Tribolium castaneum: one gene and its partner. The protein of the gene in region 1 purifies or fractionates together with the protein of each later gene. This does not show direct contact. Links are inferred from orthologs where the notes say so. Each region holds a gene or a part of one and is shown in the gene's direction. Other genes may lie near its edges. The genes, in order: Abp1 and Neurl4.

What was found.
Region 2: the proteins of Abp1 (region 1) and Neurl4 purify together in Homo sapiens (co-immunoprecipitation; 4 studies listed by BioGRID and IntAct, counting the BioPlex papers as one, with this or other methods). This does not show direct contact. The link is inferred for Tribolium castaneum from reciprocal best matches to the Homo sapiens genes DBNL and NEURL4.

The regions. Positions count from the first base shown.
Region 1 is NC_087394.1:35,486,761-35,495,603, forward strand, and holds Abp1 (drebrin-like protein), read left to right. Parts: upstream 1-4,470; 5' UTR 4,471-4,572; coding exon 4,573-4,655; intron 4,656-4,717; coding exon 4,718-5,823; intron 5,824-6,270; coding exon 6,271-6,410; 3' UTR 6,411-6,975; downstream 6,976-8,843. Other genes in the region: ciliary microtubule inner protein 2B, read right to left, coding at 9-79; alpha-tocopherol transfer protein, read right to left, coding at 2,113-2,264, 2,313-2,418, 2,471-2,581, 2,632-2,884, 2,938-3,088, 3,135-3,255. UniProt on the Homo sapiens protein: Adapter protein that binds F-actin and DNM1, and thereby plays a role in receptor-mediated endocytosis.
Region 2 is NC_087398.1:5,349,411-5,358,253, reverse strand, and holds Neurl4 (neuralized-like protein 4), read left to right. Parts: upstream 1-3,460; 5' UTR 3,461-3,754; coding exon 3,755-3,958; intron 3,959-4,005; coding exon 4,006-4,107; intron 4,108-4,153; coding exon 4,154-4,267; intron 4,268-4,313; coding exon 4,314-4,591; intron 4,592-4,640; coding exon 4,641-4,863; intron 4,864-4,909; coding exon 4,910-5,780; intron 5,781-5,831; coding exon 5,832-5,931; intron 5,932-5,980; coding exon 5,981-6,174; intron 6,175-6,223; coding exon 6,224-7,689; intron 7,690-7,733; coding exon 7,734-7,971; intron 7,972-8,020; coding exon 8,021-8,469; 3' UTR 8,470-8,723; downstream 8,724-8,843. Other genes in the region: HCLS1-associated protein X-1, read right to left, coding at 1-95, 149-181, 234-313; nonsense-mediated mRNA decay factor SMG8, read right to left, coding at 515-697, 801-1,582, 1,628-2,024, 2,071-2,347, 2,402-2,614, 2,666-2,952, 3,003-3,135, 3,186-3,226; succinate dehydrogenase [ubiquinone] iron-sulfur subunit, read left to right, coding at 8,811-8,843. UniProt on the Homo sapiens protein: Promotes CCP110 ubiquitination and proteasome-dependent degradation. By counteracting accumulation of CP110, maintains normal centriolar homeostasis and preventing formation of ectopic microtubular organizing centers.

The DNA.
Region 1 (8,843 bases):
TTAATTACCCAGGAATGAAGCTGTCGTTGTTTTGGGCCAAGAAAGACTGTCGTTCTTCATCATTTAAGCTGGAAAACATGCTCCTGCACTGGATAAGTGAATTTTAACATTCGGGAGCGCACGAAAAGTGAATACAATGAAAGCTTTTCACGTGCAGCAGGAAACTCGAAACAATCGCACAACAATAATACTATGAACGTGGTGGTCGATTCTGCGCTGCACCTTCTTTTCAAATACAAGAACACAAAAGCGGAGAATGCATTTTTAGTGGGACAGTTACTGTCTATTACTTTCGTTTTATTTTTTCATTTTTTTAAATGGTAGGTAGTTCAATTGATCGTTTTTAAATTTCGATTTTTAGTCGTGGATTTTTGTAAAATATGCACAACCAGTATCCTACTTTGTTACATTTTTTTAATTGTTAATTATCTAACATTCTATTCAATTTTGCTGTCATATCTATTTATACTTAATAATAATTATAAGAAATAATTATTGCAGCATAAAGTAGTATTAATTACCTGTTTTAAATAATAATATGTATAAACAATTAATACAGTTTTCTAATGATGTACGAGGGTGACTTAAAAATTGCAGTCCCTAACAAAACGACTTGAGCGGATAGAATTGTTTGAATTTTTATTTTTCAAGTAACGTCTTTTTTTTCACAAAATAACATTTAAGCATCGGTTGTTTAGAATTTATTTAATTAATTCATTTTGATAATAAGCAATAGTCATAAAAAATCTGAAATAAAAACGTCATTTGCTTACAGAAATATAATAAAACTAGTTCCAAAATAGCGTATTCAGAGCACGTCAGCATAATAATTATAATAAAAAGACTTAATAGATATAATAATTTTTTATAACGTAAGATAATTGCGTCTGCGACATACTGGATCCTGATGGCAAATTTAGAGCCAAGGAAATCCACTATATAAAAGAATAAAAAAGAAGAAAAGCGACTCTTTTTGTATTCAAGGTTCAACAAAAGAAATGAGTTTTTTTTTTCAAATTTTGCTAAACAAAGTTCAGAAACAGTGACGTATTTCAGCAAAACCTGCCTTTTTAATTGAAGTTTTCCACACGTGTGGAAGTTTTTAAAATCTGCATAGTCATTTTTAATGCAAGATTGATCCCTGCTGGCATTTTTGAATAGAGCTTTTTTCGAGAACCTAATAGAATAATTTATAAAGTTCATTAATTAAGAAATGCTAATTGTGTAACTTATTAGAGAAAATTAGTTGTGTGGTCGCAATTTCAATTTTTTTACAAAATAAATATGATAATGTGTGCATTTGAGCGCCCAATTACATAATAGTGCATTTTAATTGGAAAATGACACTATAATGAATTCGAAAAAAATGTCATTAAAGCAAAATTAACACAAAAACTTACAATACCAGAAACATGACATGAGAATTATTTCATATTTGAATGCTGGAAAAGTGGAAATAAATACATACGGTGCTGTTACTTTTGAAATGTAAAATCTATGCTTTCAAAATTATTATGCACAAAACGTACTACATTCTTTAAAATGTAAATATCGTTTGAATATCTAACTCGTAAAACTAAGTTAGAAGGATTTTCATGAAGGAGTGCTGAATTTGTTTTAAAAGTAAAAATAAGTTTTTTCTGAAGCGTTGGTTTTGCTTATTTATATTTTTTGTGAGTTTGTTTGGTAGTTATCCATAGTAAACAAACCAACCCAAATATTTGAACACTTTTTCTAATTTAAGTTTATGAATAATTTATATACTTAACTTAATTTTGGATTAATTTAGTTTCCTCTTAATTAACTTACCTGGGTGACCTTTAGTGGTAATAATTTGGCCATAGGTTTTCAGTGTCAAAATGCAATAATTCAAGGTCTGCTACCTATCAATTACACTTTCGCCCTCACGTGTAATTAAGGAAGGCAAAGAGCTAATTAAAAAAATAATTAGAGTAATATCAAAGAAAGATAATGCTCACATAAAACATGTTTATTGTTATGTCAAGGTTTGTGTTATAAAAATCCAAGTTCACAAATACCCAACAGAATACCTAATTATTTTCTTTTTTTTTTCAAATTGGTAATAAAATAAAACTTGCACATTTGTGCGTATTAGTCGATTTCATCAAGTCTTTTAAAAGTTCCATCAACACCAAAATCGCTTGCAAATTTCGATTTACCAATTCTTTTGGATTCGTCGATTTTTTGCCCATCGTGCCATTTATAGAAGTCGAGGTGGTCCAACATATTGTTTACGCTTTTTTCTGTCAAAAAAAACTTGAAACTCGTTTCGTTCGCTGAAAAAATCTTACCATTCAAGGTTTGCATTGAGGAAAGCTGGCCCCCGTATTCTTCCGGTAAACATTCTTTCGGTACGTGTTTATACAAGGTTTCGGATCCCGGAGGATGGAATTGTATCTGAAAAAGCCAGCAGTTGCGAAAACAAGGCCATTTTACGTTTTTACAGTACCATATTGTACAGGTCACTTTTGATAAAGGGCTTCAACATGGCCAAAACTTTATCAGCCAGAGGAAGAGCATTGATAACATGCACTCCTTTTATCCTAACGGGTAGTGCATCCTGAAACAATCGTTAGGTACACAAATCTTAAAGTTGGTTATAATATATACCTGAACGAAACTTAGTGCATGTTTGATCACATTTAAGTTGAGTCTGGCTGCATGCCCCAAGCCAAAACCCTTCATATCAAAAATTGCCATAGCTCCGTTTAGGAAACCGTTCTGATGCAAGTGCAAAGTCGCAACCATAACTATGTAATTGAGAAAAGTGGCACAGTTGAAAACTTCGGGTTTGTCATCGAAAAGTCGCAACATTAGGATACCATATCCTTCGGGAGTTTTTTTCGTGAGAACATTCGCAAACCTGTAATTCCCCGATTTATTTGTGACGTTAATGAGCGTTTGAAATAGGTATACAAAGCACTGGAAACCCTTTTAATACCATCTCGATCTAAACTCTCAAATAACTCCGGACAAACATCTCGAATGGTGAAATAATTGTCAATGGTAATTTTGGCCGCTTCAATTCGATAGTAGCAGCTATGAAGGGCCATGATTATTTGCATTTCTGGAAATGTTACTTGAGGAAAAAGCGCAAATAAAATCAAACTGACCTTCGAGCATTGGCAAATGGGGCTGTTTTTTCAGCCATTCTTGGATGATTCTGACGTCTTCACGCTTCACGTTGGCGTCTTTAGCGTATAATTTTTCGTGGTCGATGCAAGTGAGAGCCATCGTTGTTGTTACTCGGGGGAACTACTTGGAACTGGACAAGAGAGCAAAATGTTCACCGCCTTGAAGGGGGAATTAAATGAAAATAGAGGTTGAAGTTGTTTGGGTGATGTCAAGTGGATCAGGTTTATGAAAAGATAAAATTGGCAATAAACACTTTGATACCTATCTTATAATTGTTTTGTTTGTCATTAAAAAATATATAAAAGTTTTATTATTGTTAAAGATAAGTATTTGATTGATTGTTTGAAATAAATAAAAATAAAGTGCAGGAAATTTTGTTACATAATTTTTACAAGCATAAAAAACATCGGTTAGCAATTTAAGAAATGTTTTGGTGGATAATAAAGTACCCAATTAGCTTAAATTGCAAAGACTAAAACTTAGGATTTTTAACTGATTTTATTTTTTTTACAACTTTAAAGTAATGTAAAGTTTAATTAAATAATCAATAGTAATGTGGAGGTAAATAAATCATTATATTTGACTTCAATGACTTAAACCATTAAGTAAGTAAAAAGCAGGTGTCTTTAAAACGTAAATCTTATTTGAAAATTTACTGTAAGGTAGTTTTTACTTCATAGTAACTACACCAAGTCGTGGTGAATCTAAAGCTGCACCAGTTGTCTTCTTCGTTATAATATTTACTTAAAAAACGCCAGTAACGTTTTATAATAGTATTTAGTAAACATTTGTAAGTAAAATTTTAGTAATTTCGGAAACAATTTTTTTTTTAAAATGTCATGGAAAAGGAGACATGTTGATTAGAAATACACATTATTTCAAAATATTTCCACTTACTTAGATAATCATAAATTTTATTTGGTGCATAATTATTGAACCTCATATGGAGATGAGGTTCATATGGCATATATTGACCTGGATATGGCATATGATTTGATTATATAACGAGACCGTAATTGACTATATTATGTTGGTAAGCAGTTTAAGAAAAGTGATTATTTGAAGTTTTTTGGTGGATAAACTCAATTTCCACCACAATGGTTTTTATGAAAGTGAACCGAATGTAGTTTAAATTAATATTCATGCTAAAAGCATTTTCTCATCGTTTTACAGTTGTTGTAAGTATCGTTTTTACGTATACAAATTTTTCGTTTAAATCGTCAAAAAGAGCAAAGAACATTTCAAACAATCGGAAAATGCTGATGGATGTTATGGAATTGCGCGTTTTTTCAAATGTAGGGATTTCCGACCGTGCCGTTGGTAGTGGTTTCTCTCACATGTCAAACGTCAAGTGGTTGTGTGATTTGTTATCTTTGTTGAATTGTCTTAATTTTCCGGCTTTAATGAATTAAAATCATGTCAATAAATTTAGACAAATACCGGGATGAGCTTGTATCAGCTTGGAAAGATGTGCTTGATGCGAAAACACCAACAGATTGGTAATACACTCCTTAAATAATTTATGCGGTTTTGCCTAATGGGTGTCTCGCTCGCATTTTAGGGCCCTATTCGCCTACGAGGGTCAAACCAACGTTTTGAAATTTGTGAGTAAGGGTTCCAACGGAATCGAGGAACTAACGGAAGACTTAAACAGCGGAAAAATAATGTACGCCTTTGTGAAAGTGAACGACCCGAAAACCTCTTTAATTAAGTTCGTTCTAATCAATTGGCAAGGAGAAGGCGCCAATACGGTGCGTAAAGGCATATCCGCCAACCACTTACGCGACATTGAGAAATTTTTCACCGGCGCTCACCTAACAATCAACGCTCGTAACGAGGAGGAAGTCGAGCCTCAGCTCATCATAGATAAGGTCGCAAAATCGGGCTCGGCATACAGTTTCAAAGCCCCCAGAGCCGAGATTATCGAGCCCACAGGTCCCGTTGGGACCACTTATCAACGCGTCAATCCCATAAAAGAAATCAATGCTCGTGAACGGGACCAGTTTTGGCGCAAAGAGGAGGAAGAAGAGAAGAAACGGGTCGAAGAGGAGCGGAAACGCAGAGAAATGGAGCGAATGAAGAACGAGGAAGAGCTAAGGCGGCGGGAATTGGAAGAGGCGGCCAAACGGGATGCGGAAATGTCCCTCAGGAATAACAACATTGATCAAATCAAACAAGCGGAAAAGGAGGCCGCCGTGGAGTCGGTTTCCGGTTCGAACTACGACGATGATTTTCCAACTAGAGTTAATCAAAGCGATGTTTTGAGAAAACAGCGAAATCAAGAGGCGCACGATTTAATAGCACAAAGAACGATTGACGCCCGGTCGGTGTTTGAACAGCACACGGTGGCCGGGCAGAAAAAAGTGCCCGAAAAACCGGTCAGAAATTCCATTTTGAAAGCACAAAATCAATTGAGTGTGGAAAATAAGTTGGAGGAGAGTGACGACGAAAGTGATCAGTTTTCCACAATTAAAAGGTCACCAAAAGATGTGGAAAAGAAGAGTGTGACTAGTCCCACAACGCCACAGGAAGTCTTTGAAGTGAGAAAGGAAGAGCCCCAAGAGGAGCGGGTGGAGCAAATTACAGATCAGCAATTTGTTGATGAGTATCTATATGAGTTTAGCACACCTGGACTGCAGGCTAGAGCGTTGTACGATTATCAGGCTGGTAAGACGATTTTATTTGTAGAGCTTTTTCTGAAATCGTTGGTGCGGAAATTTGCAGTGTTCAGCCGGCACTTATCTCCATATTTAATATTATTCTTCATTCTTTCATTCGTAAAAAGAACTCTGTGGTTAATTTTTATTAACTTAAACTTAATGGTTTTTGAACAGTGTAACGGATTTTAAAGAGTTGACCTCAAATACTATCATATTTGTTTACAATGACGAAGTTCAGGGTCGTGTGCTAAATTTAAATTTATTCAGGACTAATAAAATTTAATATATAATATATAATCCTGTGTAAAGTTTACAAAGCAGTCTGTACTATTAATTTCGATTTCAGAAAAACACTCAATGTTTATTTCAGCTCGTTGGTTGTTTACACTCTGCATATTCATAATAAATGATCAATTTTAGCGCCTTGTTATTCAAATCAATGTTTATTTTCCAGTGGACGATACCGAGATCAGTTTTGATCCAGGCGACATAATAACGAATATTGATCAAGTTGACAAGGGATGGTGGCAAGGACTGGCTCCCAATGGTACTTATGGCCTTTTCCCCGCTAATTATGTTGAGTTGATCCAATAATTTTCATTTGTATTTCTACCGTCGCTTCGCTTATTCCATTGCTCATAACGCATTTATTTAGTATTTTTCAAGCGCAATATTTTGTCGATAATAGGTTAAGTTTACTAAAAAATACCAAAATTTTATTTTTAGGAACGTATCGACACACCGTTTGTAATTATTCTTGTGCAATAAAACGAATTGTGAAGTATTAATGTTTTAATAAATTACGAACGGTGTGTTTTTTATTTTTAAAGCTTGTCGCCTTTTTATTTTGATTTGCCACACTGCCAGCTAGGGTATGCTCTTCTGTGCCAACTTCACCAAATTAAAACCCCAATTTGTTTGTTAAAATTGCGTTTCAATGATTGTTATTATAAATTTTAATTAAAAACTCTATGGAACAGTTAACTGTTGATAAATAATTTTATAATATTGTACGACTTACTTGCATCATAGCACAAATAAACATTTACCAAGACTTATGATCTTTTGCACTTCATAAATCTTTACTTTGTGATATGGTATATAGCGATTGTAATCTTGTATGTATTTATGGATAATAAAGCTACGTAATTTTTTACAATTGGGTGTTTTATTGCATCGTCCTGAAATTATTTAATTATTTTAATTGCGTTTAAACTAGCTTTGATATTTACCCTCAAAGCGCAAATAATTTTTAAATATTTGTGATGTATACGGTTCGCAAATAAATTATTATTATTTTACAGCGATTGAAACAAAACAGTGTGATTTATTTTAGATACGCACTCATCGATCATTTCAATTTGAAGCCGACAACAGCTTTAAAATTTCACTCATTTCTAGAGTTCAGCGGCACATAAAATTTGATGAATACATTAAAACCGTATAAAATCTTATTGTTATTAATGAAATTTGGTTGTAATTTTATTCATGAAATTCGCTGATAAAATGCGTTTCGTATTACCATTAATTTCTGTCATTATTGGGAAATTGCTTCCGGAAATACGAAATATTTCGTTTGGCATCCAGTCTTGATTTATTTCGCTTGGAATTTGAAAATATGCATTTGAATGCAGTGGAAAGAATGTTCAGTTTTTGAGTGAAAGAGTCAGCAAATTTGCAATGGGGTTCCAATGTGCGTTCCCGACCTTATCAGTAAATTGCCACTGGCTGTGATACGTAACAGTTTCGATGGTAATTTATCGATTGGACAAGTCGAGTGTGCAGCTTCATTTATTGAATTTATCGGCTTGTTGCATTAGCAAAATCAGTCAAGACGACGGTTGAGATGAGGTACAACAAAGTGGCAGTGCATCTGAAGCTTTGGTCAGTGAGTATCGCCGGAATTGACCAGCAACGTTATTTTCATTATGATTAAGTCGCCATAGTTACGATAATTTTGGAATTGACAGCTTAACAGCGGGGCACTTTTCGAATATATTGATGACGAGCATTTTGCTCGGAAACTGTTCCAGGACAAAGCCATAAAGTTGCTCGCTTCGTGTATATTGTACTACATGTGCAATCGATTCCTTTATTATTTCCAGTTGCAACAGGCAACATTTTAGCCTGGCGGATTGACCTAGCACAAGAATGGTACACCTTCCGAGAGATGATTAAAACTTCCTAATTGTGCAATTGTAGCATTGCTGCAATGCGAATTTAATTTATACTTCCCGAATATTCCAGCTCGGAATTAATTTAATTACGAGTTTTGTAACAAAGGGGATTTTTTGAATGGCAAGTTCGCTTTACACGCTGTAATCATCATCGAACGTGAATACCACGTTTTTACGCCAGTTGCAAAATTCAAAATAACTATCCACTAAAACGATAAGCTTTGGCGGATATTTGGCGAAACTTGTACTAATTCGGGTTTCGCAGGTGACAAATTATTTATGAATGACTAAACTTGAAGGGATTTAGGATTCTCCCAAATGGGACACTATTTAATGAGACTGATCAAACATTATTTAATAATTACGTCAATATTTTATCAGTTCAAAGTACGCCACGAAAAATTACAAAATGCGTAGGTGGTAATGAATGCCCTATAATTTAAATACACTATCATTTAAATTAATTTATTTTCTGCTTCATCAATAGTATTATTATTTCCAATTTTGTGTAAATTTGATCCGACATATTTCAAAAATATGCAAATGAATTATTTATTCTAACATTTTTAGCGATACGTTTTATGAAACGTGTGATAGGATCAACACAGAAATTAAACGTAGGCAGCTAAATGTCATTAGAAGTATATTTAGTTGGTATTTTCGTATGAAGAAACTTTTTTTAAACACTATGGTGTTACTTATAGAACGTTGGAAATTACCACACATTTTTGACTGTTTCTTGATTATTTTGTTATGTAATTAAAATTATAATGGTAAATAGACTCTTAATTATACTAGTTACTAGTTGTTCGTGCTTCCGCTGTTGTAAGCATGGATTTCGTTGTTTACG
Region 2 (8,843 bases), on another chromosome or scaffold:
AATTGCGCAACATTTCGCTCATTTGTTGCTCGAAATATTTGTGCATCTCAAAGGGGTCGCTAAACATGCTAAAACTTTGGAACGGCGCCCCAAATCTACAATTAACATCGATAATACTAGAGTTATATCATCGTGTTTCTTTACGTACCCCTCATCTCTACTTGGGGGCTCAGGCCAACTCCTGCAAAGATTACAACTGAAGAAAAGCAATGACACGAGAGATGATTACTTACCTGTCTCGTTCGTCGAATTGGGGGCTCTCCTGTCGTGAGGAAAACCCCAAAAATCTCTTAACTTTGTCGTAGAATTCCATTTTATTATTTAAACATCACACACGATTTTAACTAATGAAATATTCCAGAAACGTCAAGTGTGGCATGCAACCAACAATACATTCGTGATCGTGATAAACATAGCCACACAAATGGACTTCCAAATTCTCGAAATTCGTAAGTCATTCTCACATTCGGGTCTTTCAAACTCGCATAAAAAAATTCCAGTCATTGAAAACCATTTATTCTATTTCTGTTACTCCAAAAACGCCCTGTAGTAGCTTTGCTCCTAAATTTTGCGGGTAGTGTTCCTTATCCGCAACATAGACGTAAGGCAACCGCATGACCCAATAGGCCGATTGGGTCAGTTTGGTGGGCCGTTCCACCGTACTGATGAAAATGGGGGCCCCGGGTGCGGGCTGCACCTAAAACAGCCCCCCTTATCTCTCCAAGGTTCAAACAAGGTACTGAGTTTTGTCAAAGTTTTTACCAAAAAATAACAAAATTTCGAAAAAATTGACAAATTACCTTTGGGTCCAGAGTGCAATGCACTGGAGCCTTGGGGGTAACAACATGCAGTCGCATCAGTTGTGCCAACTTATTGGCACGACACATGCACGGATAATACAAGGGCATATCCGACTCTGCTATTTTATGCCCAGTGTCCTTCACAATGCTCCCCGGCGTGGCCTTGAGAATTTTATCCGGGGCTGCCAACATAAATCTATGTCCCGACGAACACTCATACTCCACTCCAATGAAAACCTTGACCGAAAACTGGGGCGAAGCCCCCGTCGGACGTCCCCGACGCCCCCTCGCCGGGTACTTACTAACCCAATTCATTTTCGCCTTGCTATACACTGTCACGTCCCACGGGAGCAAGTAGTTAGTAGAGTTCAAAAAACCGGGATGGTGCGACTCCGACAGCCCCAAATTGTGGCTGTAAAGCGAGGAGGGGCCGAGGCAGACGAGACTCCAGCTGGAGTAGACCGGGAGGAGGCCAGGGGGCGAACTCAGGGTTAGCATTCCCGGTAAATATTCGGTCGTGCTCGGCTGGCGGACCAGCCCCCTTTCGTTTTCGGGGGTGAGTTCATTGGAGCGGTCGGAGAGGACCGAAAGGGCCTCTTCGGTCTCTTTCAAAGTCGCTGCTTTGTATTCTTTGATCGAGGGTTGGAAAACGGGGAAGGAAATGCGCTCCAATTTCGAGCAAATGCATTCGCGACTGATCGCTTGGTAGAAGAGGTGATTGGCTTGTTTGGCGTTGTAGGGGTCCTCACGCGGGCCGATTTTCCGGCCGCAGTCGCAAACAGCTTAAATAACAGTTTGCATAACGCGGCACAAAAATTACAACCAACCTTTGTAAATAAACCCGCTCATGTGCTCCTGATCTGACTGATGTTTGGGCAATTTGCACGGGTTCCCGGTCATGGAAGCCGCCTCGCACTGCTGTCTCCCGTTCTCCCAATGCGCCTTGCAGTCGGCCTTCAATTTCGTGACGTATTGCTGGAACACAGGGCCTCTGGCCTGAGCGTTAAAGAGGGCCAAGGCCATGCTGAGGCGCCTGTCGTGCTCTGAGTGCGCGTAATGTGGCGGCAAGTTTTCCTGGTACCGCGCTAGCGCCAAAGGCAGGACTTTGAGACACCTCTGTTCGGAAAATCTCGTGTCGGTGCATAGCGACGAGATCAAGCCTTTTTTCATTATCACTTCGTATATGGCCTTGGTGCTCTCAAGCCAATGTTTCAGTATGGGTAACTGTGAAAATTAGTCCAAATTTTTGTTGGAGAATATGGGGAAGTACCTCAAAGTGGGCCGGTTGTGACAACTGATGCCGACTGGAGCTCCCCGTGTCGTTAAAACCCTTAGTCCGGGCCTGTTTTATGTGCACTTGCAAGAATTTCAAAAAGTGGCGTTCGGAGTAAGGCTGGCTGCAAAATGGGGGCTGGACTTGCATAGCGCCGCCAGGCTGGCAATCCTGAATCAAGCCTCTGACGGCATCCCCTAACCGGTCAGTGCTTGGCGCTTCCGTCGATATGTAAACGAATTCCTCATTCATCGGAATTGCAAAAAGCGACGAACTTTAATGAGCGAAAAATAATCAAAAAATTTATGTCACAATATTGCTAAAATACCCATAGGTTGAGATTATCCGTGTCTTTTTCAAAATGTGGTAAATGCGATCTTCAAGGTTGTGTTCAACCTTCTTGATGTTGTATGAGCCCTTCGGGCACTGCTCAAAGTAGAAAATAACACGGGGCGTGCAAAACCGGCCATTGGAAACCCAATCGGGGCTCAAACCGTCAACGTTTTTCAAAACTTCGCTTATTTTATTGAGTTTTTTTTGACTGGAATTATTGCATGAAGACCTATTTTCGTTTAAATTTGCTCCGTGTTACCTTAACGTATCCACAGCCTTGAAATACTGGATCCAGTTTGTATCAAAAGTCCACCCAGGATGAGACAAAATCATAATGTGACTCACGTGAAACAATAGTAAGAGCGCGCGAGCAAAACTACTCTTAATTTCGTCGTTAATTACAAGTAAATCGTCGCACTTTCGTTCATTATTGCACCGCTCAACGAGACTTGAGTAGTGTTTAATTAATAAATCTGTGTCTAAAAGACTGTGGAGGTGGAGATAAATGATCTGGTTTTCCTCATCATAGAAACCCTCAATCGTACACTAAAATTTAAGGCAAATAAAGGCAATTTCGGAAATTAGGGTTCTACTACTTCATCGTCGCTTTTACACCCTGCTGTAAAAACTCGCCCAATTGACTTGGCTTTCATCCCCATTGAGTTGTAAGGGGACTTGCCCATGATTGAGATAATTACGACTTTGTCGCAATTTAAACCACTCACCTCCCTAGAACAGCAGATCTTAGCTACAATATTTGTTTATATACAATTTAGTACAAAAGAGGCTGAAAATCCGGTAAGATAAATGTTTCTTTCATCTTTGTTTTTTGGGGTTAAAACTGATGACAGGATATCGGTGAAAACAACACCAAAAATCATAATAGATAATAGAATCTATGATGAACATTACAGTCGACCAGACAGTCACTGCGCCCATGGAGCTAGCACCATTTCCCCCACCATTCTCGTTTTATACAGCCAAGTTGACACCAGAAAAATAATCGTAAATCATTATAAAAACATCAATAAGCTGTTACGCTGACTTGCATACCACATTTGTAGAACATCTCCTGACCATTCATTTAATTTCTGCATTTCAACAGAAATTCCGATTCATGGGTTGGTAGTTTAAAAATTTGGAACAAACGATCTACTGGGGTAACCTCGGACGGAAAAAAACATAATGATTCACACAACTTTCGGCTTTTTCCAATAATCCTCAATTAGATAAGCTAAACGAAGCATCGCTACTTATCAATCGATAAGAAATTTCTTGTTTGGGTGAGATAAGTTGGCAGCCGTAATGTTTGGCAGTTGACACATGATCGGCTGTTTACAAATGGCCGATGACAGCCCCTTTTTGCTTCAAATTTGAGCCAGCAAACGGGCACACAATGGCATATTTTCACTACCGTTGCGGCGAACGCATTACTTTATTAAACGACAATTGTACGGCGGTGCGCAGCGACAGTGACTTCGACAATGGTTTGGTAATAACGGCCGAACCCCTCGTCAACGATGTCCTTTTCGAAATAAAAATCGACAGAAAAGTACACCATTTCATAGTGATAGTTCAGCGTTTAACTGCTGGTTTCAGGTCAATTCCTGGTCAGGGAGCCTCGAAATTGGCGTGGTTGACTGTGACCCCTTGCATTTCGATTTTCCGGCATGCTCTTCAAAAATACAAGCCACCTCATGGGTACGTTGACCTCTACATGGCCAGTTGGTCATTACTTGGGTTGCAGATCATGTCAGGAATGTCGTTCTTCAAGAGCGGAAATTGTGTAATTGAGAGGTATGGCGCCGATTTGGATAAATTAAATCAGGATGATAGGATAGGTTTAATGCGCACATCTGAGGTATTATGACCCAGACACGAATTTTTGCACACAAGTCCTGTTTAAGGGTGATTTAATTTTCTACGTCAACGGGGAGTCCCAAGGAGTCGCCGCTGAAAACATCCCAAGTATAGTCTATGCCATAGTCGATGTTTACGGCAAATGCGTCCAAGTCAGTATTACTAGTCCCGCCCTCCGGGAACACAACAACGACGACTGCCTCAGCGGCAGTTCGGTCCTGGCCATAGAAAACGATATCTTAAATGTGACCCTAGGGGGCGACTTAAGCGAACTCAGCATGAGCAGTAGTAACAGTCTTGATATCCGTATGGATATGAACGTGAGGTATATTTTTTACATAAATGTGGGGCACCTATTAAAATAGAAAACACAGTCTGAGTCTCCCAGAGGAGTGCCCCCGACCAGATAAGTTACGTTTCCACGATCGTTGCGGCTCATTGGTCAAACTATCAAACGGCAATCGGACAGCTGAACGTCGCCGGCCTTTAGACGAGTTCAACAACGGGGTGGTCATGACCCACCGCCCCCTACGCGACTCGGAGCTGTTCGAAATCCGAATTGACCGCCTCGTCGACAAGTGGAGCGGCAGTATCGAGGTAAAATAGTGCCAAAGCGAGCCAATCGCCAATTGACTGCCTGCAGATGGGCATCACTACGCACAACCCCAGCACGCTGGTATTCCCCGCCACGATGACCAACATGCGCAGCGGCACCATAATGATGTCCGGTTGTGGCATCCTAACGAACGGAAAAGGCACCAGACGCGAGTACGGCGACTTCAACCTCGACGAGTTGAGCGAAGGCGATCGCGTCGGCATGATGCGCAAGCCCGACGGCAATTTACACTACTTCATAAATGGGCTGGACCAGGGGGTGGCCGCCCAACGCGTCCCTTCCACCGTTTGGGGCGTGATCGACCTCTACGGCATGACGATCAAAGTATCGATCGTTGAACGCGACGAAAGAGAAGAGCAGAATCTCATGACGCGTAAAAACACCCGCGACCAACAAATCCCAGTCCCTGATCCCCAACCTCTTCCCGACTACTATGACCGGTTGACCTTTCATCCGAATTGCGGTACGCATGCGCAAGTTATTAATAATGGCAGGACTGCCCATAGGCCGAACGCAGCCGATGATTTTAATAACGGGGTGGTGCTTACGGGGCGGCCTTTAAAAACGGGGGAGTTGTTCGAGGTGAGGCTGGATAGGGTGGTGACGAAGTGGGCGGGGTCGATTGAAATAGGCGTGACGACGCACAGTCCGGTTGATTTGGAGTTCCCGTTTACTATGACGAATGTGAGGTCGGGGACGTGGATGATGACGGGAAGTGGGATTATGCACAATGGGACGATCGTTTTGGAGCAATATGGGGTCAATTTGGACAGGTTGCAAGTGGGGGATCGCGTGGGCGTGGTCAGGAAGGAAAATGGGTTGTTACACTTTTTTGTCAATGGGGTGGATCAAGGGGCGGCCGCTTCGAACGTCCCCGAGAAAGTTTTCGGAGTCATAGGTATCTAACACAATTGAAATATTAAATTCCTCAATTTGTAATTTTTCTAAGATTTATACGGCCAGGCTGTTGAGGCTTCAATCATCGACATGTACGACTATGGATCACCCGATACAATTAACTCGAGTTTATCCAACACAACACTTTACAGGTAGGTGCGTGTCTTGTCTGGAATTGCAGCTAATTTGCGAAACCACCAGTGATTTGAGGTTTCACCACGTTCATGGCAAAAACGCCCGGATTGTGAACGGGGGCTTGACCGCGTTAAGGCCTCGCCCCCTTTCGGAATTCAATGATGCTATTGTGTTTTCGAGTCGGCCGCTTCGCGACGGCGAACTTTTCGAGGTTTGTCTCGACAATATCGTCGATCGGTGGTCGGGAAGCATCGAATTAGGTCAGTACGGCCGACATTATTACCCAGTAAGTAATAAATCGTCCTAAAGGTGTGACCGCCGTTCGCCCCGACGATATCGAGCTTCCGGGCACCGCCACCGACCTCTGTCGCGACACCTGGATGCTCAGCGGATCCTCCATTATGGAAAATGGCACCACGGTCAAAAACAACTACCCCTGCGACTTGGACACTCTCGACGCTGGCGTTCGAATTGGAGTCGTGCGTTCAAGCGACAAAACTTTGGAGTTTTACAGAGACGGTGTCCCCCAAGGACCCGCCTGTATTGTCCCCCACAGTACGGTATATGCCGTTGTCGATCTCTACGGGCAATGTGCCCAAGTTAGCATTCCTTGTGTCTCCCCACTTGTTCCTATTCCCACAAATTTAGATAACTGTCCCCGGTCGGACACTTCCATTAGTTTGCAAGCGGTTAGTGTAGTCCAACCGGCGGTTCAAACCGATCTACATATCTTCTCTGATTGTCACGGCAAAGGCGTGTGTTTGAGTGACGGTGGCCGATTGGCCAAACGCACGAAAGATTTAACCGGGGCGGTGGTATGTAGCGCCACAACGCTCGAAAGGGAGGAGCTATTCGAGGTCACTATAGTTTCATTGGTCGAGCATTTGGCCGGAAGTATAGTCATAGGCGTGTCGGAAACACCTCCCGGGAAATCCAACATTAATATCTTCGAACAATGTTGTTACATCACCGGGAACGAACTCAGATTTAGAAACAAAACAATTCAGTTATTTACTCCGAGCTTGCATTGGCTGAACGTCGGGGACCGAATCGGGTTACTCCGAACGCTCGATGGCGCTTTAAAAATTTTCATAAACAGTGAAGAATTAAACTTGTGTTTGCCCCCTCTCCCTGAGACTTTATACGTGGTTGTAGACCTGAAAGGGTCGTGTAATGCCGTCGCCGTGACCAGTCACAAGTCACCCTTGTGGTCCCTAAACAGCGCACGGTTGCAAGACAGTCTCGAACTTTGCAACCAAGAACAAATCGAACTGGTCAGAGATCCGGACGTGTCAACAATTTACGAATTTCACGACAACCACGGACGAAATATCGAGATTGTTGAGGGTCGTACGACTGCGAGACGTGTCGCTTCATATAATCAGGGCGTGGTGATCGCTCAGCCCGCCCTCGAGATCAGCTCAAAGGTCCAGATCATAATCGACCAACTGGAGACGCGATGGCAATCGTCGATTATCGTGGGCGTGGTTTCGGGACCACCTGAACGTTTGAATCTACCTGTCAATGCACTGGCGTTCAAAGCACCGTGTTGCATTGTCGCAAACGATTGGATTTCGGTGAACGGGGTCAAGTCACGTTCGAACTTCGGCCAACGTTTGAGTAATTTACAAGTTGGCGATACTGTGGGTGTTATGTTGACCCTTTCCGGGTTGAAGTTGTTAGTGAATGGGATTGAGGAGGAAGCTTTGTCTTTTGTTTTTCAAACGGGGCAAGCCATTTACGCTGTTTTTGATCTCTACGGGCAGTGCCAACAGGTAAAGGTGCGTTTGTTGATTCGTGGTGAAGCAATTGATTGCAGATTAAAATCTTGAATGATGTTGCGCAAGAGGTGGCCGAAAATTCGGTCACTGATTACGAAAAGGCGGACCTTGAAAGTTGCGAAAAGGAGCGACTGACTTTACCCATACCCTCAGCAAGTACTAGTCTAACATCGTCAGGGGGCGTGTCGCGTCCCTCACCGCCTAGTCCAATCAAATCGCTGATTTGTTCCTACAGGGACGAGTGTCTCACGTTTAAGAAACGCCTCCTTTTGCCAGGTTCGCCCACTTACGTAATTTAATCCCATACGATTTTTTTTTCTCATAGATAATTATTTTACGTCAGACGACCCGATCTGCCACTGCTCGACTTGCATAAAAGGCGAGAAAGATAACTCTCTCCTGGGTTGGGTGAAATTTCCTCTGAAAAATTCAGCCAATACAGCGACCGATAAGTGGCACACGGCCTTCTACGTGTGTAAGGTGGGGGCGGTGCGTTGTATACTCGACAAAGGGCAGCCGCTGACCAAAGGCCAGGCCCAGTGGTGTAATCTAGTGGCACAGAAAGAAGACGATGTCCAAGTCGTTTTTTACCCAACCTTACAAAACTGCAAGACTTCAGGGTACAAGACAAACAATCGAGTGGTCCATGCCGCTTTTCAATTGTTAGTCAAACCGAGCGCCTACTCCGTATCGAGGGATCCACCCGAATGGAGCACCAAAGAAACCGGAGCAATTGTTCTACATTCGCTTTTGATTCAAATTGAATGTAATTAAATGTGTAGCGATTGGTGTGTGCAATTAAACATTCGGAATTTTTTTTGTCGAGCTGTGATTATGTTAACGAATTTAGTCTGATGATTGGAACAAGTCGAAGATGTGATATTATTTTTCCCAAATTCGTCATCAAACTAATTTTAGAATAGGTTACCGATGTATTTATTTACAACAAGCAGATTTTATCCAAGACACACGGCACTGTAGTATACGTTAAGTTTGTTTACGGACCGAATAAAACATGTTGACCACAATGATTGGCTTTTTTTCAATCCTTGATAAAAAACTAGAAGTCTAAAAAATACAATGGCAATATTTTGACGTCTCTAAACGAACTCCAAATGTCAAAAATCGGCAAAGTAATTTTGAAAAAT